Linked DNA regions of Arabidopsis thaliana. The protein of the gene in region 3 interacts with the protein of the main gene of each other region in a pairwise test. Each region holds a gene or a part of one and is shown on either strand. Other genes may lie near its edges. The genes, in order: FACE2, MHX, PTR6 and ABCI12.

Region 1 (5,822 bases), on a different chromosome or scaffold from region 3:
CCAATTTTAAATCACGTGATCAAAGTTGTATCCTATTGACTGTATCATATTAAAACGTCATTTATTACCTCCTTTACAAAAAAACAAATATTTCTTAATGAAATTTTGTGGTGTATTTTGCGATGATAAATTTAAAATGTAAGGTAAATAAATATTTTGAATTTTACTCACTTATTTATAATATAAATAAATAAACGTAAATTAACATAATTTTGCAAATTTTTAGTATTAGTGAAAATTTAGTTGATTTTTCTTTTTGTATTAGTTCCCTTTTTTTAACGGTTTGTATTAGTTCAAATACCAGCAATATTTATGCTCTCTATTATAAAAGCTCAACTTACAACTATAAAATAAGAATAGGATTTATGAATAGATCATAATAGTATTGGTCTTCATCTTTTTAAAACTATCCACATAAACAATAGTAATGAATCTCACTAGATAGTAGTAGTGTATAGTTTGGGTAAAATACATTTTAGAGTAGATTACTGCATATTGGTTTTGTCGAGGATGATTTTCCGGTTCAACAAATTCTGTTATATGCAAGCATAATCAACCACATCTTCTTTATGAAGAGATCCTCTCCCGTTAAATCACCGTTTACTTCACACAAACACAATATATGTGTAGTGTACAGATAATTTATTGACCATAAATTCAACTATCCAAGCTTCAAATTTCGTAGGAATATGACATAGTAATCAAGTGGTGGTGAGAAAATTACTGAGAGACCTACGAATCCTAGAAACATAATTTTCGTAACTCCTAAGTGAAAATCATCATCATAAACTCAGACTTTGAAAGTCAACTTTGAAATATAATTTTCAGAAAATTATATCCGTTTGATGATTACCCCCAAAATCTCTTTGGATGATCATCAAGCAAGACATCATCTTCTGAATCTCTGATGTAAGATTATGGACCTATGTTCAATTTCTAATCATTGTTTCTCTATTTTTATATATAAATCAAATGAATTTTGGCGTGTTGACATTGGACAATATAGTTTAGGTTAGACTTGGGGATGTAGATCATCCTTCTTCCTGTCCCTCCTAGGATAGCAAGAGAATCATTAGGGATAATACCGGAAAAAAATGGACAATTAGCCAACACTAATTTTGGAGACTTGAACCAATTATTATTATTATTATATATTTACAAGGAAAAAACTACATAAACTATCAAGAAACATTAGCTTGCAGTAAAAGACCATAATTCCAATATTGTGTCAAAAAATAGATTCTAAGACATGATGATATATAAAAAAAAACTTGGAGAAGTGTCAATTCCACAAACAATAGCCAAGCCAACACGGACAATCGTTGGTACTATCGTTGTACATGAGAGGCTTTGTTAAAGGAAAGAGAAGTAAGACGAACCCAACCACACCGCCTAAGAACGCTGCACTCACCAAACCTGAGAGAAGAACCATAACCATGTTTAGCTTATTCTTTTGCATTTGCATTTGTTAACAACCTTGAACTTTATGTCTTACCTTTTCCATTTGCGTATAGCACAGGCAATCCCATGTAGTTGCAAAATATATGAGCAAACAAAGGAGCAGCAAGATGTCCTGTAAAATTTACACAATGCAGGAGACAATCATCCATTAGAAAGGCTTTTACATGTATAAGATATATAAATGCCTGGAATGTTACCGGTTCTGATGAAGAGAAACGATGCATATGCACCAAAAATGACTGTGTAGCCAAGCTGAAGACCTGATCAACGGACAAGTGAAGCTCAGGACTGATCAACAAACAATATTATTATGATTATGGATGGCAAAGACATACCAACAATAAGTGAAGCCCGGAGATAGCTGCGGTTATGCCTGATGTACATCTCTCTAAAATGGTTTAAGTGAGCTACACAAAACATATAAAAGTCAGACAAATCCAGTAATTTTCTTTTCACTCGAGTTGTAAACTGTTATTCACAGAGAGAGAGAGAGAGAGAAAGAAACAAACCCAAGCTAAAGAGAACTGGGCACAGAAAGATGGCAGTGTTAATCCTAAACCCAGCACACAGAAGCAAAGGTATCATACATGATCGGAAAACCAGCTCCTCAGTTACTGGTGCCTGCAAATCATAAGAAACGCCAGCTCTAACAGATTATAACTTGTTCGATTTAGAACTTACTTATACACCAAACTGATGCATATAGTCCTCAGACAATTAGCAAGCAATGCCTTATGCAATTTCAATAAAGAATTGACAAGATAAGCACACAGAGATGGCAAACATATGATTACCACGATAAAATTGCGCCAAACGGAAACATTAGAAGCACTTGTCAATACCGAAGCAGGGATTGTTTGGAAAAAGCTTCTGATGTAATTAAAGGAACTACATCCTCCGCCATTTTCCTTCCATGATTCCAGGAGAGTAAACAACTTCAACACCAAAGACCCAGCATAAACGAGCGAGGTCAATAGAAGAGGATACACCACTCCTTGCCACTGTTCCATATCACAAAACATAACCATTTTAATATGAATAGTGTACAATAAGCTACGAGTAAACAAATTGAGACAAAGAACTTACCAGATGATCTTTCCTTATGCCATAAACTCCAAGTATATAAGAGGCCTCCCAGCTTTTTATCTAACATTACTCAAGCAAAAAAGGAAGACAAGTTTCAGAGATTCCTGTAACTAGCGTTGAATTGTACCAAACACAACATAGTCACCAATATTTGAGTGTTACATTCTTAGAGACAAATTGTGTGAACCTACAACAACTAGTAAAAGCTAATTCAACTCTCAACAAAGTTACAAATACATCAAATTTCTTTACTTTTAGTTTAACTTTCATCAAAACACCAAATGCATCTAGATTTGGACCTAATTTGGTTACAGATCAACGGAGAATGAACTTCAAATCGAGAAATGGCGGTACTCAAAGAAGCTTACCGGAAGTATAAAAGCTGTGAAGACGAGAGATGCTACAGTACAAATGGCCGCGCAGATGAATCGCCGAATCATGAATTCGGTGTAAGAAGAAGCCGACGGGAGACGGAGTATCACGGTGGGAACGTAAAGGATCAAAACGTAGAATAGTGCCATCGCGACGCAGGTAGCCACCGCCAACGACATCGAGATACTCTCGCCATCGGTGGCCATAATCGTTGAGGAAGCTCCGGCGAAGAAATATACCGGCTAATAAGTGTCGAAGTCACCGCTGGTTAAATCTTAGTCCGGCGGTCTTCTAATCTTTAACCAATTACATCGTGCCACGTTATAGACTAAAACGGATGACTACTGGGCCGAACAGACCCATTGGGCCAATTTCGTTTATAAAAGAGGGTATAACGGTAATATCATCAGAAGATATACGTCACCATGCCAGTTTCGAAGAAGCCTATTGGTTATATTTCGTCATTAACTAGACGGAATGACGAAACTACCCTCAGATGCCTTCTTCTAAAGTTGTCTCTTCACTGTCAAGAAGAAGAAGAGAACAAAAAAAAGAAAGGAATTTTCTCTGAAACGTCACGAACGTGTGAATTGGGTTAAAAAATTCATCTCATTGATCCAAACTTGAAACCCTAATTTCGAATCTCTTTGCTGATTTGGTGAGATCTCAATTTCGGAAAGAAGATGACGAAGGATTTCGCAGTTCCACCTGTAGTTTTCCCCTCCGGTGGATCTTCAGGCGGTGCTAATGTCCAGCAACGAAGATTCCCAGCGACACCGTTTCAACCGCCGCGTCCCTCTTCTTCCGCAATCCCTTTCATGTCATTCGACATTGGATCCGCAGCCGCGTCTTCCGCTACACCTGCCGGACCATTCGGCGGGACAATCGCTTCCTCTTCTTCTTTTGGTGGAGGTTCAGCTTCGTTTGAAGATGAGGAGCCATTACTCGACGAGCTCGGTATCCATCCAGATCAAATCTGGAAGAAGACTAGATCGATTCTCAATCCTTTTCGGATTAACCAAGCTGTTCACAAAGATTCAGATCTATCTGGTCCGATCTTTCTGTACCTTGCGCTTTGCTTATTTCAGTTGTTAGCTGGTAAGATCCAGTTCGGTGTCATACTTGGATGGATCGTCGTCTCCTCTATCTTTCTATACGTCGTCTTTAACATGCTTGCTGGTAGAAATGGGAACCTTAATCTCCATACGTGTACGAGCTTGGTCGGATACTGTTTGCTTCCGGTGGTGGTTTTATCGGCGGTGTCATTGTTCGTTCCCCAGGGAGCAGGGCCGGTTCGGTTTGTGCTTGCGGCTTTGTTTGTGTTGTGGTCCACTAGAGCCTGCTCTACATTGGTGGTATCTCTTGCTGATGGTGGAGAAGAGCACCGTGGCTTGATCGCGTACGCTTGTTTCTTGATCTATACTCTCTTCTCTCTTCTTGTTATATTTTGATTCCATATTGATAGATCGTGAATCACTTCCGATGCTGTGTTAGCAAGTAGCAAAAAAAGGCTGCAATATAAGTTCTTTGATGTGAGGTTGAATTGGGTGGGAATAGCACGGTGTGTAAAGGCTTTTTTGGATAAATTTAGAAAGGTGTTTAAGAAATTTGATTCAATGTTTGTATCTGTCACTTGATCTTTAAGGTTCTTACTTAAGAATTATTTATACAATTTGGTCGATATGTCTTTTGACATAGTTTGTTCCTGGACATTAGATTTGTGAGAGTATTGGAATTGATGTTGCGGATGATATGCTTCTGTACTAATGCAGAAGAGGTTTATATGCTTCCTATTTCATGTTTATTTTGCTATTTACTTTCCCGGTGTGAGGCTATGAAGATGTGCTGACTTCTTGCTTGGATTATACTTAAAGGTCCCAAGTTTTAGGAATGATTGGCATTAGATTTGCTTAAAGTATGGCTCCATGTAGGTAGAGTAGAATTTTGAGTTGGTTTTAGAGCTGTTGGAAACTTAGGCATAGTCTAATGAAAGAGTGATTAGTATTTAGTGGTTTGCTCGGTGTTGGTATGTTCCCTGATTAGGTGGCATAGATAAGTAGGGACATGGGATCTTGGCTTCAGGTTCGTCTTCTACTGTCAATCCCAGAACTGCACTTACTTTTCCTGATAGTATTTGCTGTGTCACGGAAATTAGAGAGAGATTTATCCGCAATTCATACTCTCTTAGATGGAATTTGTTTTAATGTGTCGAGAAGAATCAGCTATGTCCAATTGAGTGAGCATAGTATTTGTCAGCTTTACCTTCTCCTAAAACATTCAGTAGAACTGGTGTTAGAAATGATCTCTATATTTTCGTGTTGCAACACTCGTTCCGAGGGAACCATTTTTGTGTTCCACCTTTTCTTTAGAATCCAAATTGACTCAAAGGGGAGTAGGCAATTGTTTTAAACATACAATGTAAAGATGTAAAATTTCTGATATATCTGGTGGATGTACTTAAGACATACCCTACAATTTCGATCCTTGGACTCAATTGAAACCAAACTTTTAGGCGGCTTGGTCTCTCCCTTACCAGGATCTTGTCAAAGGAAACCATATATACTCATACTCACCTAGTTCTTCCATGATATCCAGATAGTGATAAACCATCTGATTAAACACTCGTAACACTTGCATATATTGACAAGATTATCTCTCAAGTGTCTATAAGATACGTATTTGTGTTTCAAGGTAAAATTGTAAGATATACATCTGATTAAGTATTCTTACTCTCAATTCTTTGATTATCAACATAGAGAACCCCTCTAGACCAAACCAAATCACTCCAACCTCTTGATGTTGCCGGTACGGCATTAGAGATTTCGGCAGCTGGTAATAGACAGTTGGCCAGTAAAACGCTACCTGTTCTCGCCGGTAATCTCTGGCAATCATACGGTGGAGAT
Region 2 (6,760 bases), on a different chromosome or scaffold from region 3:
AATTGCCAGCAAACCGTAATTACAAATATACCCTTATTAATCTTTCAATGTGTTACGGTCTTTTTAAACCGGTGGTTAACATGGCGGAAAAAATGAGAAAAAACCGGTTTAACATTTTCCACCAGTGATGAACTTTCTCAAAAGAGTTTATTATATACGAACCTAGCTACTAGCCAAAGTCTTACTTTTCTCAAAACCAAACGTTAATGAAACTACCATTTGATGTATACATATGGGTAGAAAACAAGCCACCGACACCTTTGTCACTCATTGGGTGAGCTCTTCCTAAAGAAGATGGTCTTTTCCAAATTCCAATTCAGCAGCATGTGTAGTAGTAGTTTCGTGGATCTGTATGTATTCTCGACCGCGGTTACAACTAACGATTTATAACTAAGGCGTTTTAGTTTTACGAATAGTATTTCGACCTCGTGTTATCGTTCCCATATGGGAGATTTATATCTTTCTCTATGAGATGTTTGTGAGACTGTATGATTTTGTACATTTGAGTTTTTGGAATTGTTTTCGTCAATTTAACAAAAATAATTGGTGACAACAAAAAAACTATCAGTCTTAGTAATATGTGACGTATTTCTTATCAAATTTAGATTGACCATGTAAAGAGTTTAGCAATTAAATCCAATTACATTGCTTGTGTACTTATTCATGTTGTAATAAATTGTAGATTTACAACTATGACAATCCTATATAACAGAACAAAAACAAATACGTATTTGAACTTTCTAGTTTACACTTTACACGAATTACACGTGATAAATAACAGGTAGATTTATGTCAATGTCATACATAGCCTAAATCAACTAAAAAGTAAACAATATAGTTCAAATGTATATATATACTAGATAAGGTCCGCCTATTTAGGCGGGTGTACCCGAAATTTTCAAATACTCGAACGGATATAAACTTTAAAACCCGAAAAACTCAAACCCAAACCCGAATAGGTATGCAAACATATCTCAAATATAAGTATATATTAGTTATATTTATACTTATATATAGAAAATATTAGAATTTTTTTGGATATTTTAGTTATTTTTGTGTATTTTTAGATATATTCAAGCAAAACTACTCATGTTGTTTTGGGAATTTTTGAAAATTTCAAGTAATTTAATAGATTTGCACACAAAATTTGATATTTCAATATATAAATAACTCGAACCCGAACCCGAACCCAAACCGAACCCGACCCGATAATATTTTTTTGTTTAAAAATACATACAACCAAAATCTTATTTCTACCCAATTTCTTTAAGTAATAATTATATTAATAAAACCTACAGTCTAATTTCTACAGCAATAAAACTTACAGCTACAGTCATCACACCTACAACAAAAATTCTACAGCAGTAAATCTACAGTTACAGACAAACCAATCACCCACGTAATCTCGTAAGTTAATTTTACATCATGCAAATTAATATTAAATGAGTTAAAATTAATAAATGAAAATAATTGAAAAGTTAAATCCTATAAGCTAAGCTATTTTTCTCAAAGTGTTCTATTTTCACTTATGATTACATGAGTTAAAGACAAATTTGTTAATTTTGCTTTTGTTGAATAAATGTTAATTGTTTATAAATATATAGACATATAAATTAGTATATGTAAATTTGTTTACTTTTTAAGATTTTCTATTTTTTTAAAGAATAAAAAAGTTAAATTTTGAATGACACATGTAAACATCTAATCGTTTGACTTGACACTGTGCCAAGTCAATTTTGAAAACCATACTTTATATAATAAGATATATATATATATATATATTTTTTGTCCTCATAGTTCAATTGTATATATCTCAATAATTTTTTTAATCAGAAAAAAACAAAATACATATATATCCACTAATTCTGATTTGATAATGCGTTCACACTTCATATTTATCATGTTTATCTTTTATAAAGAAAATAAATTAGTCAGGTCAGGTTTTTAGTAAGATATATGTTTATGATAATATCTAAACTCGAGGAGATGATAAAACTAATATTACTCAGGTTGAAATTAAAATCTAATGCTTATAAGGATGAAATGAAACAAAATTCAGGGAGTAAAAAGATATAAAAAAAACTTGCAATTGAGGTCTCATATTCTTAAACCTTACCAAAGAAAGGCGAGATTAATTAATCCTAGTTAGTCAAGTAAATCATCCAATTAGATAAGATCACGTGTCGGTCGATGTACGCTTGAATCCTCGTTTCGATACAATAATTGAAGTGTGTCATGCAGAGATTAGAGAGATGTGTATAAATGGCTCCCAAGTCTCCACCGCAATATCCAACGCTTGACCGATTCCAATCAGCTCCTCTCGATTTCCGTTTGTCGGAAAATCTCTCCCGTGATCGGCGTATTGTGAATGCCGCTCACCGAGATATTCTCCGGTACGTCCGCATTGATCAATTTCGTCGCGTGGCTCACTCTGTTTCATCTGTTCTTTTCTTATTTTTTAGCTATTTTTGTTGAGATTTGTTCGTTGAAAATTATGGTTTTGTGAAAAGAACCCAACTTGTTTTACTGAACCCATGATGAAAGTTATAATCTTTTGATCTGGTTACCTCTGGATTTTGATTACGCATACAGTGGAACATGCAATTGTTATTAGCATTGGTTATAGATTGGATTTCGGTTACATGCCATTGGATCCTTTGCAATGTTTAGTTTGTGTTACAGATTCTCTGGAAAGAAATCTTTTTGCATGTTCCGTTTGTTTCGCATCCTCTTGATACTGTTCGATCGATCAGGCTACAGGTTTCATCAGTTTCTTCTAAAAGTTGTAAGCTTCTTTTTGGTGTGCCAGATTCTTTTCCCCAGTGAGGACAAGTGTTCAGTTGACTTATTAGGAGGTGGGGTTTGAATAAGTTACAATGGCCTCAATTCTTAATCAAACCCAGGAGTTGCAAGAATCTTCTAAGGTTCTTGGGCATTTAAGATGTGAAAACTTCTTTCTATTCCCCGGAGAAAACACTTTGTCAGATGGTTTGAGGGGTGTGTTATATTTTCTCGGTCTTGCCTACTGCTTTATTGGGTTGTCAGCCATCACTGCACGGTTCTTCAAGTCTATGGAGAATGTCGTGAAACATTCCCGTAAAGTGGTTACAATTGATCCCATTACTAAAGCTGAAGTCATCACATACAAGAAAGTTTGGAACTTTACTATTGCAGACATCAGTTTGTTGGCGTTTGGAACTAGCTTCCCTCAGATTTCTTTGGCTACCATCGATGCAATACGGAATATGGGGGAGCGGTATGCTGGAGGTCTGGTGGTTGTTCCTTTCTTCCTTCCAAAACTCTAGTTTTTACTTTTAAGTTCATGAATTCTTATATCATGTTTTGTCATATAGGTCTTGGTCCTGGAACACTTGTTGGCTCAGCTGCATTTGATCTTTTCCCCATCCACGCTGTTTGTGTCGTTGTGCCAAAAGCTGGAGAACTGAAAAAGATATCCGACTTAGGTGTTTGGCTAGTTGAGCTCGTATGGTCTTTTTGGGCTTACATCTGGCTATACATAATCCTCGAGGTAACTGTGAAAAGCGGTTTAAACAGATTCTGTTGAGTCTATACTCTATACTGATAAGGTCTAAAAATCTGTTTCTTTTCACGTCTCACAGGTGTGGTCACCAAACGTAATTACACTTGTGGAGGCATTATTGACAGTACTGCAATACGGATTGCTTCTAGTTCATGCGTACGCCCAAGACAAGCGATGGCCTTACTTGTCTTTACCAATGTGGGTTTCTTTTCCAGACAATAATATTAGTTCCTTCAAAATGGATTTCTACTAAAGATTGTATCTTTGTGTTTGTATTTGATACTTGCAGGTCAAGAGGTGATAGGCCAGAGGAGTGGGTTCCAGAGGAGATTGATACATCCAAAGATGACAATGACAATGATGTTCATGATGTGTATTCGGATGCTGCTCAAGATGCTGTTGAATCGGGAAGCAGAAACATTGTTGATATCTTCTCTATTCATTCAGCTAACAATGATACAGGTACTAAGTATGATTAGGCTGTCTATTCTATTGATATAAGATCAGTTTTAGCGTATTTGCTTATTTCCAAATCTATGTGATTCCCATATTTATCTCTGGTAGTATATTGTTATAAATCAAACTTTCCCTGTAACAAACACTTTTGCAGGGATCACTTATCATACTGTGGCAGATACTCCACCCGATTCTGCGACTAAGAAGGGTAAGGCGAAGAATTCTACTGTTTTTGACATTTGGAAACATCAATTCGTGGATGCAATAACGGTAAAAATCTTCAACTTACCAAGTGTTTTCTAGATTCTTCTATATCCTATTTTGGGCTTTTGATCATTATCAACACATCTTTCTTAACTTGTTTCTCTTCCTATTCGTAATCAAACAGTTGGAAACATCAGAATCAAAGAAAGTGGATAGCATTTATCTTCGAATCGCGAAATCTTTCTGGCATTTACTCCTCGCCCCTTGGAAACTGCTTTTTGCATTTGTGCCCCCCTGCAACATTGCTCACGGTTGGATCGCTTTCATCTGCTCTCTCCTCTTCATCAGTGGAGTAGCCTTTGTTGTCACAAGATTTACTGACCTTATAAGCTGTGTCACTGGTACACACCCTCACCGCTTTCAAAAACTGAAGTTATAAGATTAAACATTTGAGCTCTAAAACATTAGAAACTCTTTTCATCTTGCAGGAATAAACCCATATGTGATAGCATTCACAGCACTCGCAAGTGGAACTTCATGGCCAGACTTAGTAGCAAGTAAAATCGCTGCAGAGCGACAACTAACCGCAGATTCAGCTATTGCAAACATCACCTGCAGGTAAAAATCTCAAAACCCTTTACAAACATTGAAGATCTTTTCATGATCTTTTTGGTGATAAATTATGCAGTAACTCGGTGAACATCTATGTGGGGATTGGAGTTCCGTGGCTGATAAACACAGTCTACAACTACTTTGCATACAGAGAGCCTTTATACATAGAAAACGCTAAAGGATTAAGCTTTTCGCTTCTGATATTCTTTGCGACATCAGTGGGATGTATCGTGGTGCTTGTGTTGAGAAGGTTGATTATAGGAGCTGAGCTTGGAGGTCCAAGGCTATGGGCTTGGCTTACTTCTGCCTATTTCATGATGCTTTGGGTCGTCTTCGTTGTTCTTTCTTCTTTGAAAGTTTCAGGCGTCATATAGAAGAAGCAACAAAAGGAAAAACCCCATGAGTAGAAGAAAAAGTCTTAGCTTACTTGCACATGTCTCAGTTTTTGTTTTTCTTACTTGTTAAGGGGGTTTTATATAATTATCAAAGTTCAAAGGCAGTTGGCTAAATATGTGTTGCAAATATAAATCATATTGACTATGATTTTGGAGGCTTCATCTCTAGTTAGGAGGTGCATATATGGAGTACATTTTCATTATCCTGCAGTTTTTTTTGTTTTTTTATTTGCAGTGTTACCAATTTGTGGTACATATATGCAAACTTTCTCTAAAGTCAAGCAAATAATCTTAGTCGATTAATATAAACTTTTATATGTAACTTTCATCCAAGTAACTAGTGTTTAGTACGGTTCTTTAATAAGTGTTGTAGAATTTCTAATGCCCATTTACCACGAAGTGCATATTCTAGTTGCTGCTTGCTTCTGATATTAGTGACATCTTAATATTCCTGAATTTAATATTCATAGACACAACTACTTCGGTTATTTTCTAAGATACATTCTCAAGTCTTAACCACAAAGGAGAGCGTCTCAAATTGTAGAGACTTTTTATGGAATGAGTATCCGAAATGTTTAGAACAGGGAACGGACAACTTGATTGAGCCAAAAAAAGAAGCTTAGATTTTATTCTCCTGACACTCAAGTTTCAAAAGAGAGCAGTAAAGTCCTGTCCGGATAGCAAATTAATCCACCATACACCAGAGTAGGGCAAAGAAACAGGTCGCTTCTAACTTTTCCGGTCACCTGAAAGTTTTCAAATGTTTAAGCAAAGGCACCGGTACAGGCTGTAGCCGGACCAGCCTCGACCTGCGTCTTCGCTGAGCTGTATTTCTTGGTTATAAACCTGTTCCAAGTTTAAACACACATCAAAGAGAGAATCAGACAAAATACAAATTCTACATTTCTACTAGGGGGCAAGTTAAGAAAGTAAGAGCTCACCTGAAGAAATCCCTCCATAGCAACTCATACATTAACCAGTTGAGTCCTGTATCTCCCGGTCCGTTCCTGAGAAAATCATTTCAAAGAATGATAATTAGACACATACACTTACTATGTTCACCAGAGTTTCCTGAAGTGTTTTGCGTTTCTGAGACATTACCTTGGAGTTGTGGAGGTGGTTGATGCGGAGATTGTTTTCTTCAGCTCATCGAACATGGAACGAGGAGAGATGCTTCCCATGGCTAACCAAGGTGATATCTTGCAAGAGAAGTTTGCACCAAAGACACTGTTGTTGCCTCCTTTCTGGTTTCCCTTGCTCAACCGAGCCTGACAATCCGCGGCAAAGCTCTTTAGTCTAGTCAACGCCTCTGTCTCTCCTCCAACCATTGTCGGTTTCCCCTCCTGAGCAGAACAAAATGTTAACTCCTAAGAGAAGGTGTAAGACAGTAAGAGCCGCAGACGAATATTGGACCTAAAGAGAAACGTTCATTGATCCTAAGAAGAATCCATGGACCTTCAAACAGCACTACTACTATTAACACTTGATAGTACTTATCCCTATCACTCTATGGGTAAGTAGCTCTTCTCCTATAGAAATGGAACCAATTGGC
Region 3 (5,940 bases):
TTATCTCTGCCACTATATATCGTGATCGCTTCATCTATCTTTGCCAAAAACAATAATTTTGATATCTTTGACCTCTAATCTCTCTCAATGGCTGTATCATTTCAAACCAAGAACCCTCTAAGACCCATCACCAACATCCCAAGAAGCTATGGTCCAACGCGTGTACGTGTCACATGCTCTGTTACTACCACCAATCCTCAGCTTAATCATGAGAACCTTGTAGTTGAGAAACGCCTTGTGAATCCTCCTCTTTCCAAGAACAACGACCCGACTCTGCAATCGACATGGACTCATCGGTTATGGGTTGCAGCGGGAAGTACAACCATATTTGCCTCTTTCGCTAAATCTATCATTGGAGGGTTTGGTTCTCATCTTTGGCTCCAACCAGCTTTAGCGTGTTATGCAGGGTACGTGTTTGCTGATCTAGGCTCCGGTGTTTACCACTGGGCCATTGATAACTATGGTGGTGCATCAACACCTATAGTTGGAGCCCAACTTGAAGCGTCTCAGGGTCATCACAAGTATCCCTGGACAATCACAAAACGTCAATTCGCCAACAATTCATACACTATCGCTCGAGCCATAACTTTTATAGTTCTACCACTAAACCTTGCAATTAACAATCCTCTGTTTCATAGCTTTGTGAGCACATTTGCATTTTGCATTTTGTTAAGCCAACAATTCCATGCTTGGGCTCATGGAACCAAGAGCAAGCTTCCACCTCTCGTGATGGCGTTGCAGGACATGGGACTGCTTGTCTCACGGAAAGATCACCCGGGACATCACCAAGCACCGTATAACAGCAACTACTGTGTAGTGAGTGGGGCATGGAACAAAGTTTTGGACGAAAGTAACTTATTTAAGGCATTGGAGATGGCGTTGTTTTTCCAGTTCGGTGTGAGACCAAACTCGTGGAACGAGCCAAACTCTGACTGGACAGAAGAAACCGAGACTAATTTCTTTACAAAGATTTAAAGAATATCTGAATATGTATGAGTGTGTCGAATAAAGAGCATGTATTAGGTTTAAGTATCAGATCTTGTAAGCTGATTAAACCTCCATTGTTGATGATCTTTCGTAAGCATGCAAACTTCAATAACCTGAACTACTACTTTTTACAAATAACCTTTCTAGTCTCTTTTTACATGGCGGAAACATTATTCATATTTTTAAGAAAATCTACTAGTACAGATTACAATATACAGAGTATACCATGAATATGATGAACCAAAACAACATAGCTTGTTACAAAAATAGCTTACAAAGCCTTCTTCTTTGTGTGCTTAACACAAATCAAGGCATAAACAGGAATGTTGACAAGTCCAAGAGAGACCAAAAGCCAGAAGAAGTAGTCAAGATGTCCTTTATTAAGGTCGTCTGGAACCCAACCATCTTTACCTCCAAGAGCTGTGAAATACGCCACAAGAGTGAGGATCAACGAGCTCAGGTAGCTTCCGACTGCGGTATTGAGTAGTGCCAAAGCGCTGCATACACTTCTCATTGCATCAGGAGATTCATCATAGAAAAACTCAACTCGACCAATGAAGAAAAAGACCTCTGCTATTCCCATTAGTATGTACTGAGGGATCTGCCAAAATATGCTCATTGCAACAAAGTCTTGAGCAAGCTGCAACCGCACTGTCTCAACAATAGCTGCAGCTGCAATGCTTAGGACAGAGAGAAAAAGACCAATGCCCATTCGCTGCAGATCAGTTAACCCTTTTGGTATCCCTGTGAACCGTCTTACAAAGGGTACGAGGAAACGGTCATATATTGGGATGGATATGAGCACGATAAGTGTGTCGAAAACCCCGAATGAAGCAGGAGGGATCTCGAAAGAACGGATTATTCGGTTCATGGACCGTCCTTGTTGCACGAATAGAGTGGAAATCTGTGAATATAGGACCGAGTAGACGATCCCCGAGGCCCAGATTGGAAACATACGGATTAGAGTCTTAACTTCTTCGACTTGAGTTACAGTACATAGCTTCCATGGGTTGGAAAAAGCACCGGATTTAGATTCATATTCTGAGATAACAGCAGCTTTGTCAAGAAACCTGCACAGATATAAAAACAAAGGTTTATGTTCCGATGAACATTTCCAAAAGCTCAAAATGAGAAACTGAAAGGGGACAGGTATTTTCTTGTAACCGTCAGTGTGTTGAATCTTCCTGCTTCCAGCAATCATGGAGTTTTTCTCTCGTGTTTCATACAGAAATGAGATATCTTCAGGGAGATTAAGCTTCAATTTACGGTATGCAGCTACAAGAACTTGGCAAACTCTAGTAATCGGACTACCTCCCGGTTTCTGAAACCGATAAAGCGGAGTTCCAATGAAGAAACTCGCAATAGAGACTCCCATAAACACGGTGGGAATCAAGAAACCGAGTCCCCACCCGACATTTTCTTGAACCCAAACTAACAAAGTGGATGAGATAAATGAACCAATGTTGATGGAGAAGTAAAACCAGTTAAAGAAAGAAGCTTTTCTAACTCGTTCCCTCGGGTCAGTATCATCAAACTGATCAGCACCAAAAGATGATACACATGGTTTGATACCTCCAGTACCAAGAGCAATAAGGTAAAGCCCTGTAAAGAAAACCGCATACTGAACCGTTGTTGCTGGTGAGCATAGAGCCGCAGCAACGCCAGCACATGCCGCTGGCTTTAAAACCGGAAGTGAAGCCGAGAGTGTCAACAAAGCCATTCCCTAAATTCAAAAACCAAGATTAACTAACTATGCAAATCACCTAAACAAACAAATGCAAGTATCCAAAGAGATTGATTAGTCTTACAATGAAATAAATAGCAGAGAAAGAAGCAATGGTCCAGTATCTTCCCCAGTAAGAATCAGCTATAACAGCTCCAATGAGAGGTGTGATATAGCAAGTTCCTTGCCAAATCATAACGTCACTAGCTGCAGAAACATTGGACTCGTGTAATTCACTTGTGTAGTAAGTGATTAGATTCTTGGCAATTCCATAGTAAGCTAATCTCTCACAACATTCGTTTCCTGTACATTGAGACCAAATTTGGAGGTTATATATAAGTACTGATAAAACAAGAATTTTTTTTTTATCTTTTTTTTTTGTTTACCAAGAATAAAGGGACAAGCTTTCCAGTTTCCTGTCTTCTTCTTCGATGGTGGGTTTCCATAAATGTCAATAGAACCATCTTCAGCTGTAGAAGACAATCCGGTCAAGTGATTGTTCACTTCCTCCTGAGATATTCAGACAAAAAAAAGATTGGATTTTTGTGGTTAGAATCTTGAACATAGTGGATTCTAAAAATTGAAAGTATAGCTATAATTAGAAAGATGTCAAGGGGTAAATAAATGGAGAGAAATTGGCAAACGCAAATTGATAGATTTAAGTCGAAACCTGTGTAAGAAGAGATTCTTCAACGTCAAGAATTCTCCTTTCGTCTTCTTCATTCGAATTCACCATTTTAAAGCTATTGAGAAAAGCAAATAGATTACTGGAACTCATCAAAAACGCTAAATAATCCGATTGCTTGCACAACTCTTGGTGGTCGGTCCCATTGATGGCCCAGTATACCAATTAAACTAAAGGAATTGTTTTTATTAAATATTTTTAAATGATCAAAATTGACTCTTCTTTGCATTTTTTTTAGGAGACAACTCCAACAATAGCACACCAGAAAATTAGAATAGTCTAATTATTAGAATACCAAAAGTAGGTAGGCATGAGGTTAATCTATTTAAACCGTGGATATCCGTATCCGGTTTTTGAACCAAACAAACGGATAGCCGGCCAGATATACGAATAGTTAAACGACGGATACAAATAATCCTAGAATTTAGGCCGGTTAATAGATATCTAGATATAACGGGTTTGATTGATTTTGAAAAAAAAAGATCATTTAAAAATATTTAATAAAACGATTCTTTTACTTTTTATCAAAATGATCAAAATTCAAAATTGACTCTTTTCGCATTTTTGTTTGGTAGGAGACAACTCCAATAATAACACACCAAAAAATTAGAATAATATTTATAGTCTAATTATTAGTAGACCAAAGTACGCATGAGGTTAATATATTTTACCACGGATTTTTATCCAAACAAACGGATAGCCGGCCAACATATGCAGATAGTAAAACGACGGATAGTCCGAATAAAGATATAGATACGAATAATCCGAGAATTTGAACCGGATAACGGATATCCGGATATATTTAAGTCCATATTCGATTTTATAACTTAAAAGTCTTATGATTTCATTCTTCAAGTGTTAAAGCTCAAAAAAAAACTTAAACCCAACTTTTTAAGTTGTTTTTATTTTATTTTCAATGTTAATAAATAAATCATATGCCAAAAAAAGTAAAAGTAAACCAAAACCATAAGAAGAATTTAAGAAGTTGATTAATCTCTTTTTTCAGATTTTAAGGATAATTTAAGTAGGGAAATTACTTGAGGTTTTTGAACTTTTTGAAGACCCAAAAAGAAAGTGAATGCAATCCCATATTGATTTGAAAGTTAATGCATTAAAGACCATCCCCAACCGGAGGCTTTTAGGTGAGGCCCTAACAATAAAAAAAGTAAAAAATAATCAAAAGTTAGTAGGAACATGAGAGAGAAACTCTTAAAACCCGTAAGTAAGGGACGAGCTCACAAACAAAATAACACATGTATTTTTATTACTGGTCTATCTGTATTAAAAAAATAGATTATAACTATTAAAATAAAATCTATTTTTTTGTCTTTTTAGAAATTTTTAGGGCCTTAACCGTTGGACATGCTCTAAGTTGCCCATGGTATTGATTTGGTACGAGTTAATGCAATCACCGTCTTTGTTTTAAAAGAAAGTTATACTTTCCACGATACGAAACATTTATGTTGGAAAATTATTTTAAATTTTGACTGTTAGGTGATTTTGTAGCTATACTTTCGCATAGTCATCCATCTGAATCAACACACGTTAAACGGCTCAAGTGTGCATGATTCTTGTGGACATTGCATCTCTGAAATTTCAATGAAGCGAAGAAGAGTCATTATTTGTCACTATAAGATAATGAATGATTATTAAAACGTATAAAACTCTCTTCACATCTATGTATTTCTCTCTAAGTAAGTACAAAATACACATTATTTATATACATGTGGGAATGATATTAGGAACACAATCTCAAAGCTACACAAACAAAATATTATCTTAGATTATAAAAAAAAATTAGAGCCAAAAACGATGAATATCATCAAGTTACTTGTGGTGGTATTCATTGCAGCTTTGAGTGGTAATGTTGGAGCACGTAAGATCGGAGGAATGGCCAATAATACCAAACTCATGAATAAAAAACAGCCAATTGGAAACTCTACTAACAATGTTACTGGTGGAGCCACAAATGGCACCAAAGCTCCTCTTAGTGGTGGCATTAGAGGAGTTGCTCCGTCTCATGTAACAGAAGGCGGATCCACTAATGGCACTAAAACTCCTGTTATTGGTGTCATTGTAGGAGTTTCTCCCATCAAAGAAAGTGGAGCCACTATTGGCACCAAAGCTCCTCTTAATGGCGTTTTAAGACCAGCTCCTCTACGTGAAGGTGAAGCAACTCTTGCCACTAACAACACTGGAAAACCTAGTGTTTCCGTTATGGGAGTCGGTACCAACGTACAAAGCGAAGTTCTTTTTACTACTAAAAACTTTGAAACGAGATTTGTCATCAATGCAAAGGTGAGTGAAGATGGTAGCAACGGTGGGAGTGGTGCAAAGCCTTGAAACATTATAAAGCGTAAGTGATCATGCTTAGGCTTATATGTACGTATAAATATTCTCTACAAAGTCACATTAATCTCTTTTGTATGACAAAACAAATAATTTAGAGATTGTGACTTTCTATTTCTTCATTTTAATTTTCAACATTATAAAAAGAGTTGGCTACCCGATACCCCGCAAAGGTTTAAAGTCTTATGTGTAAATC
Region 4 (5,575 bases), on a different chromosome or scaffold from region 3:
AACAAGCAACTTGATGAAGTCTTGGAAAACATAACACGTATGGTCAAATTTAGAAGTTGTTTCTATAGATGAAATCATATATTAAGAAAAGGTATTCTCTCATCTTCTGTTGAAACAACTTGCTAGTTATACAACTAGAAAATTTTACTTATTCTTCACTACCAAGCTATATGATCATATTTTATGGTCTTACATTTTTGTTGGTTATTAATATGATCAAATGGTAAGTGTTTACGTCATTACCTTCGATCATCCAACATTATATAGGAACGAGCCTCACATATAAACCAAACTTAAAAGTACTACTGTACTAAGAAAGAAGACACAATGTCCACATCAACCCAAGAAAACCAATCTGCCCAAGCGGTGAACGAAGAAGTTTTGTTGGAGAATCCCGATTACGGAGTCCAAATCGTCGATAAATCCGAACTGTTGGAGCTAGCCTTGAGTTTCTTAGGGGAAGACGGAGAAATCATGGAAAACCCTGAGTTTCTTGGAGATATCATGGGGGAGAAATCTTCAAGTACTTCAGGTAAGAACAACAATGAAATTGATTGGAAAAAGTTTGCACCGAAGGCTGAAGACTACAAAAATGGTGTAGCCAAGGCCATCGCGGTAGGAACAGGGCATATCATCAAGGGAATCTTCACTTGTAGCAATTCTTACTCTAAGAAGGTCTCATACATATAAGTCCCTCTCATGATGCTTATGAGTGTTAATAGATGATTGTGATTTGAATCGAAATATTTGTTGTAGTAAAGAATCATGAACTTCCAATTCAAACCCAACTTGTGGAACGACTTATGTGTTTTATTTACTAGTATAGATCATCTTATTTTTGTGTTGGATTTTTAAAAACTTTTATATGAACATGGAGATGTAAGACGCACATATTGTAGTATTTTTTATTATTAATATCGTTTTATTTTCTTACAACAAAAACAGATTCACGAGGAAGGAACGATTGCTGAAGAGGATGAGGAAAGAAGTGGTGACATATCACAAATTGATGGAGGTGGCAACAATGAAACTAATAAGAAGAATAAACTCAACAAAAATCTTCAAAGGTATTCATATTTTAATCTCTATCCCACAAAATAGTATATATTATACCAAACAATAAAATCTTGGTTCTTGTTCCTTCTTATAATGAACCAAATCTTGGTTATTTTGTTGGATGTAACATATACATAGAGCGGAGAAGCTGTGGAAGGTGAGCGAGGCTATAGGAATGGCGGCCTTAGAAGGTGGAGATTTGGTGAGCAGTTCGATGATAGCTCCGGTGGTTAAGTCGAAGTTAGGGAAGGCATTGTTATCCACTGCTCCAGGAGAGGTTATCTTGGCATCACTTGATTCTTTTCGTAAGTTACATAGAATAGCTCCATTAATTGTCAATCTATACTCATATTCATTTATTTTGAAGTTTTTGAGATCAAAATTTAAATAAAACAGATAAACACTTTGATGTGGTCAATAGATAATATAATTGGTGCTGCTGAAGCGGCAGAAATACAAACTCATTATGCCACATCCATGGCTGCTACTAGACTTGTGAGTAAGAGGTAAAAAGCTCACTTTGTGATCCTCAATTTTGAGAATGAATTATGTTTCTATAGTAACACACCGGTATTTGAATCAAAAGAATGATTATATCGGTAGAAAATAAAATCGAAGTTGGTAGAATTATTGTATAGCGTGCATACAATCTAATAATTAATTACCAAATAGTTTTGAGGGGTAGCTAATGATTTTTAGAGATAGGTTATCATTTTTATTTGTTAGGATTGTTTAGATGAGTTATATAACATGTTTACATGACCATCGAATTTTACAATTTTATACATTTATTGAGTTGAGTGTAACACATATTCACATTTTTGTGATGACCGCACCAAAGTTTTGGAGAGAAAGCCGGAAAAACCACCGGAATAATACTGGAAACAACGGGCAGCTTAGGCCGAACCGCCTGGAATATTCAAAAAGCTCTCGAGCCAACTTTTTCCATCACCTCAAAAATTGTCAAAAATGCTCCTAGGCAGTAATATGTTATCTATCTTAAAAGCTAAGTTACATTTTCATATGCTGTATTGTATCAAATTACTTAATCTTGGTTTTGGTGTGGCTATGACTCTACGAGAAAAGATTTATACAAAAAGAGTGTGAGAAAATCCAAAACGAGTCTATATATACATCAAATTCGAACAAGAACCGAAATCCAAATTTTGGTATACTTTGACTTTTGTTATTATGAGAAGTTGAGAACCACAGTCAACGTCCGACAAAACCAACAAGTACAACAGTTTAACACTTGACAGTTTACAGTATCTCTCTCTCTACCAAGTACAGAATTTCCCGCTCTAGGGCATATGTCTGATCCAATCCGAAATTGAAAACTCATGAATCACTCCAATCTTGCCAATCCAACAGTCTCCCTCACCGTAACCCTAATCCCCAAACACCCAATTCGTCATCTCACATCTCCAATTCCTAACCGGAACTTTACAAACCCTAAGCTTCTCTTCCCGCTCCGGCTTAATGAGACTCCTTCCTCCTCTCTCGCCGCGAAAAGGGTTTTCATTGTCAGAGCCACCGTCGACGGAGACGGTAAAACCGGTAATTGGGTGAACCGGTTACCAATTCCAGGACTTGGAGCCGAAAACGTCTTCAGATTGATTTCAAGCGCCACCGGAAGTCCCATCGGACAATTCATATCGTCTCCTGTGACATTTCTCCACTCGGTGGATCCCAGAATCAAATTGGTATATTGAATTCTTGATTCTTATCAAATTTCTAATCCAATTTTGTTAAAAAGTTTGAGTCTTTTTTTTTTTGTTAAAGCTTGAATTTTGGTATTTGTATATATGTGTAGGTATGGCTATTAACTCTAGTAGTTCTTCCAGCAAGAGCAAATCTAGTTGTGCGTTTAGGACTTGTTCTATGCACAGCTCTTTTGTCAATCCTTGTTCTCCCAAGACAAGTTTGGATAGTGAGTTCTGTTTCTCTGTCACAACTCTGTTTCTATATGTGATCTATCTGCTCTGCTGAGTTTCCTAACTTTTTCTGTAAAGGATCAATTGGCGAGAGTGTCGCTTCTTTCGGGTATTCTCTTCATAACATTGGGGCTAGGTTCAGATGGTGCACCTCCAATGCTTCAATCAAGAACACCACCATCTTCAATCACAAGCTTGCCTAATCTTCCCATGTCTTTAAGCGGTTATTCGTACATGTTACTGAAGCTTGGTCCTTTGCAATTCACAAGGAAAGGTTTGTCTGTTGGAAGCACAGCCGCATGCTTAACCTTTATTGTAAGTCGGTTTTTCGACTTCCGCGGTTTACCTATTTCCTTTCTTGATTAGATCACTTAATGGAACATTTGGTTTTTGGTCACAGATCTTCCAAAGTGCTAGTATTTGCCTTGCAACAACAACACCAGAGCAACTTGCACTAGCTCTACGTTGGTTCTTGTTCCCATTGACATATATTGGTGTTCCAGTCAGTGAAATTATCCTCACGCTACTGCTTTCACTGAGATTCATTAATTTGGTTTTCGATGAGGTAACGACTGTTCACTTATTCGCTTTAATATTATCAATCAGCCTAGTTATTCCAAGTCCTAAACCACATAATGGTACGTTGTGCATATGTTACATTGTAGGTCCGAAGTGTTTCACTGGGAATTGTATCGCGAAGAGTAAACTGGCAGCAGCTTACTGTTCTGGAGACACTTGATAGTAAGAATCTAAAAGTTTCTTCTCTCTTTCTATATACATCTCATCTTACAAGTGATCGCTTTTTGTAGTTTTCGCGTCATTCATACGCCGCATCTTCAAGAATATATTTCGTCATGCCGAACAAATATCACAGGTCAAATAGATTTCACTTATTATCATCTCATTGATTTGAGAATCAAATAAGAATTCTCTGTTGAAGAAGTTTGTAATTTATGTGCATGCAGGCCATGATTGTTAGAGGCTTCAGAGGAGAGAGCAGTAGCCACAAGATCTACTTCTTCTCTGGCTCTTCGAATAAGTTTGCAGATTTTGCATCAGTTTTGTGTTTAATCGGTGTAATCTCAACCGCACTCTTGTCTGAATACTTTCTTGTCTAATATTGATTCATACTAATCTTTATTCGAGCTAAACTTGGAACATAATTCAGAAGAAAAGATGATCTTGAGGTAGAATCTCTATCATGATCATCCAAATGTTGTATGTGATAAATTTCTTCCCCAATGTGTAAGATTTCGTTGGGGGTCCGGTTAGGGTAACACAATACAACTTTGTTATGCTCGCCGACCAAGAAACTCATCCCATCAGCAAACATATTCCAACTCGGATTAATGGTTTGCACTGTTGAGAACTTGCTCCATGAGATGACTGAATCCATACTAGTTGTCACCCATACATTTAAGTCTTGTGAATGTGTTTCATCATTATAATAACCTAACACTAACAGACAAAGTTTTCTATTTTTGCACGAAGAAATTATACCTAATGAAACAAATACCCTTTAGAAAAAGTGTAAGAAATTGCCACATTTCTTCTTTCAAATTACGTCAAAAATACAATCTATACTTAAAGAGTTAAGAAAGATGATCCCAAGCCAACCAAGGGCGTGATCTCTTCAATCTCACTCGATAAAGTCTGGTACACCCTTGTGTGATTTGATATGGTTTTCGTGTCCAGAAGAGACAAAGGCAGACGAAAACAGTGTCTCACATCTTTTTCTAGAAAATAACGGGTCAATGTCTTCCCAAGCCACTCGTGCTTGCTTCTATAAACAACATCAATCTTGAATTCTACCAAAAACACTCAAACTATATTTCGGCAATATAGTTTCTTGCATTGGAAGCAATCACTTGTTTCCATCATCACAGCTTGAAAAAGATTTGTCATTGGAATTAGTTCATATTTACAGTTCTCATTTAAAACATGTCAATATATGTAGTCCAATGCTTGTTTGATTAATCCCATAGAGCAACATTACATTAATTCAGCAAAAATTAGATTTGTGGAAAATCAAATTTAAAAATGGAAAAACGGACAGGGAAACAAACTAAATTAAACAAAAAGAAAAATAGAATTATGTGTTTAGGTTACAGATGCATCGTTACGAGGAAACGAAGCTCTGACAGAGAAGCCATTTTCTCCATTTTTGTCATCTCTTCTAATTTCTTCTATTTATTCCAGTATTCCATTAACCAGCAAAAAAACTCATAAATTAGATTATTTGTAGATTTTAACCAATTTACAAAAATTTCGAGCAGGAATCGAAGAAAAGGACTATTTGACCCTTTTCTTCTTCCTCCTCCCTCATTTCTACCACCACGATTTCTTCTTTATTTATTAGCCGCCGAAGGGAATTCCTCCGGCGCCATTTTTTATAATTTTTTTGTTTTTATCTTTAGAGATGGGAACCGAAATTATCAGGCCTCAAAATTGTTTGGTTGACCGGATGAGAGATTCTCCGGCGACTTTTTTTAACTCCCGGAGGAATCATTTTCACCGGAAACCGCCTCTCAAACCTGATCAAAGGAGAAGATTCGGTTCCGATGAGTTCAGAACGACGACAAAGA

What was found.
Region 1: the proteins of PTR6 (region 3) and FACE2 interact in a protein complementation assay, tested with the Arabidopsis thaliana proteins (one large-scale study listed by BioGRID).
Region 2: the proteins of PTR6 (region 3) and MHX interact in a protein complementation assay, tested with the Arabidopsis thaliana proteins (one large-scale study listed by BioGRID).
Region 4: the proteins of PTR6 (region 3) and ABCI12 interact in a protein complementation assay, tested with the Arabidopsis thaliana proteins (one large-scale study listed by BioGRID).

What each region holds. Positions count from the first base shown.
Region 1 is NC_003071.7:15,211,910-15,217,731, reverse strand, and holds FACE2 (farnesylated protein-converting enzyme 2), read right to left. Parts: upstream 3,347-5,822; 5' UTR 3,126-3,346; coding exon 2,916-3,125; intron 2,608-2,915; coding exon 2,548-2,607; intron 2,463-2,547; coding exon 2,256-2,462; intron 2,083-2,255; coding exon 1,971-2,082; intron 1,869-1,970; coding exon 1,797-1,868; intron 1,722-1,796; coding exon 1,659-1,721; coding exon of another isoform or gene 1,603-1,658; exon of another isoform or gene 1,574-1,602; coding exon 1,496-1,573; intron 1,417-1,495; coding exon 1,283-1,416; 3' UTR 1,119-1,282; downstream 1-1,118. Other genes in the region: AT2G36300 (Integral membrane Yip1 family protein), read left to right, coding at 3,603-4,370; AT2G36295 (uncharacterized protein), read right to left, coding at 5,636-5,822. UniProt on the Arabidopsis thaliana protein: Protease involved in the processing of a variety of prenylated proteins containing the C-terminal CAAX motif, where C is a cysteine modified with an isoprenoid lipid, A is an aliphatic amino acid and X is any C-terminal amino acid.
Region 2 is NC_003071.7:19,522,945-19,529,704, reverse strand, and holds MHX (magnesium/proton exchanger), read left to right. Parts: upstream 1-2,124; 5' UTR 2,125-2,393; intron 2,394-2,809; 5' UTR 2,810-2,876; coding exon 2,877-3,267; intron 3,268-3,353; coding exon 3,354-3,529; intron 3,530-3,620; coding exon 3,621-3,739; intron 3,740-3,830; coding exon 3,831-4,003; intron 4,004-4,151; coding exon 4,152-4,267; intron 4,268-4,385; coding exon 4,386-4,602; intron 4,603-4,689; coding exon 4,690-4,819; intron 4,820-4,889; coding exon 4,890-5,187; 3' UTR 5,188-5,588; downstream 5,589-6,760. Other genes in the region: PHR2 (photolyase/blue-light receptor 2), read right to left, coding at 5,973-6,054, 6,150-6,215, 6,310-6,551.
Region 3 is NC_003070.9:22,980,889-22,986,828, forward strand, and holds PTR6 (Major facilitator superfamily protein), read right to left. Parts: upstream 3,535-5,940; 5' UTR 3,489-3,534; coding exon 3,381-3,488; intron 3,221-3,380; coding exon 3,097-3,220; intron 3,014-3,096; coding exon 2,796-3,013; intron 2,711-2,795; coding exon 1,259-2,710; 3' UTR 1,057-1,258; downstream 1-1,056. Other genes in the region: AT1G62190 (Kua-ubiquitin conjugating enzyme hybrid localization domain-containing protein), read left to right, coding at 88-975; AT1G62210 (uncharacterized protein), read left to right, coding at 5,208-5,738.
Region 4 is NC_003074.8:7,600,542-7,606,116, reverse strand, and holds ABCI12 (cobalt ion transmembrane transporter), read left to right. Parts: upstream 1-2,217; 5' UTR 2,218-2,396; coding exon 2,397-2,759; intron 2,760-2,869; coding exon 2,870-2,986; intron 2,987-3,068; coding exon 3,069-3,305; intron 3,306-3,390; coding exon 3,391-3,555; intron 3,556-3,655; coding exon 3,656-3,731; intron 3,732-3,799; coding exon 3,800-3,864; intron 3,865-3,955; coding exon 3,956-4,108; 3' UTR 4,109-4,295; downstream 4,296-5,575. Other genes in the region: AT3G21590 (Senescence/dehydration-associated protein-like protein), read left to right, coding at 328-532, 602-675, 946-1,067, 1,195-1,361, 1,478-1,566; AT3G21570 (proline-rich nuclear receptor coactivator), read left to right, coding at 5,410-5,575.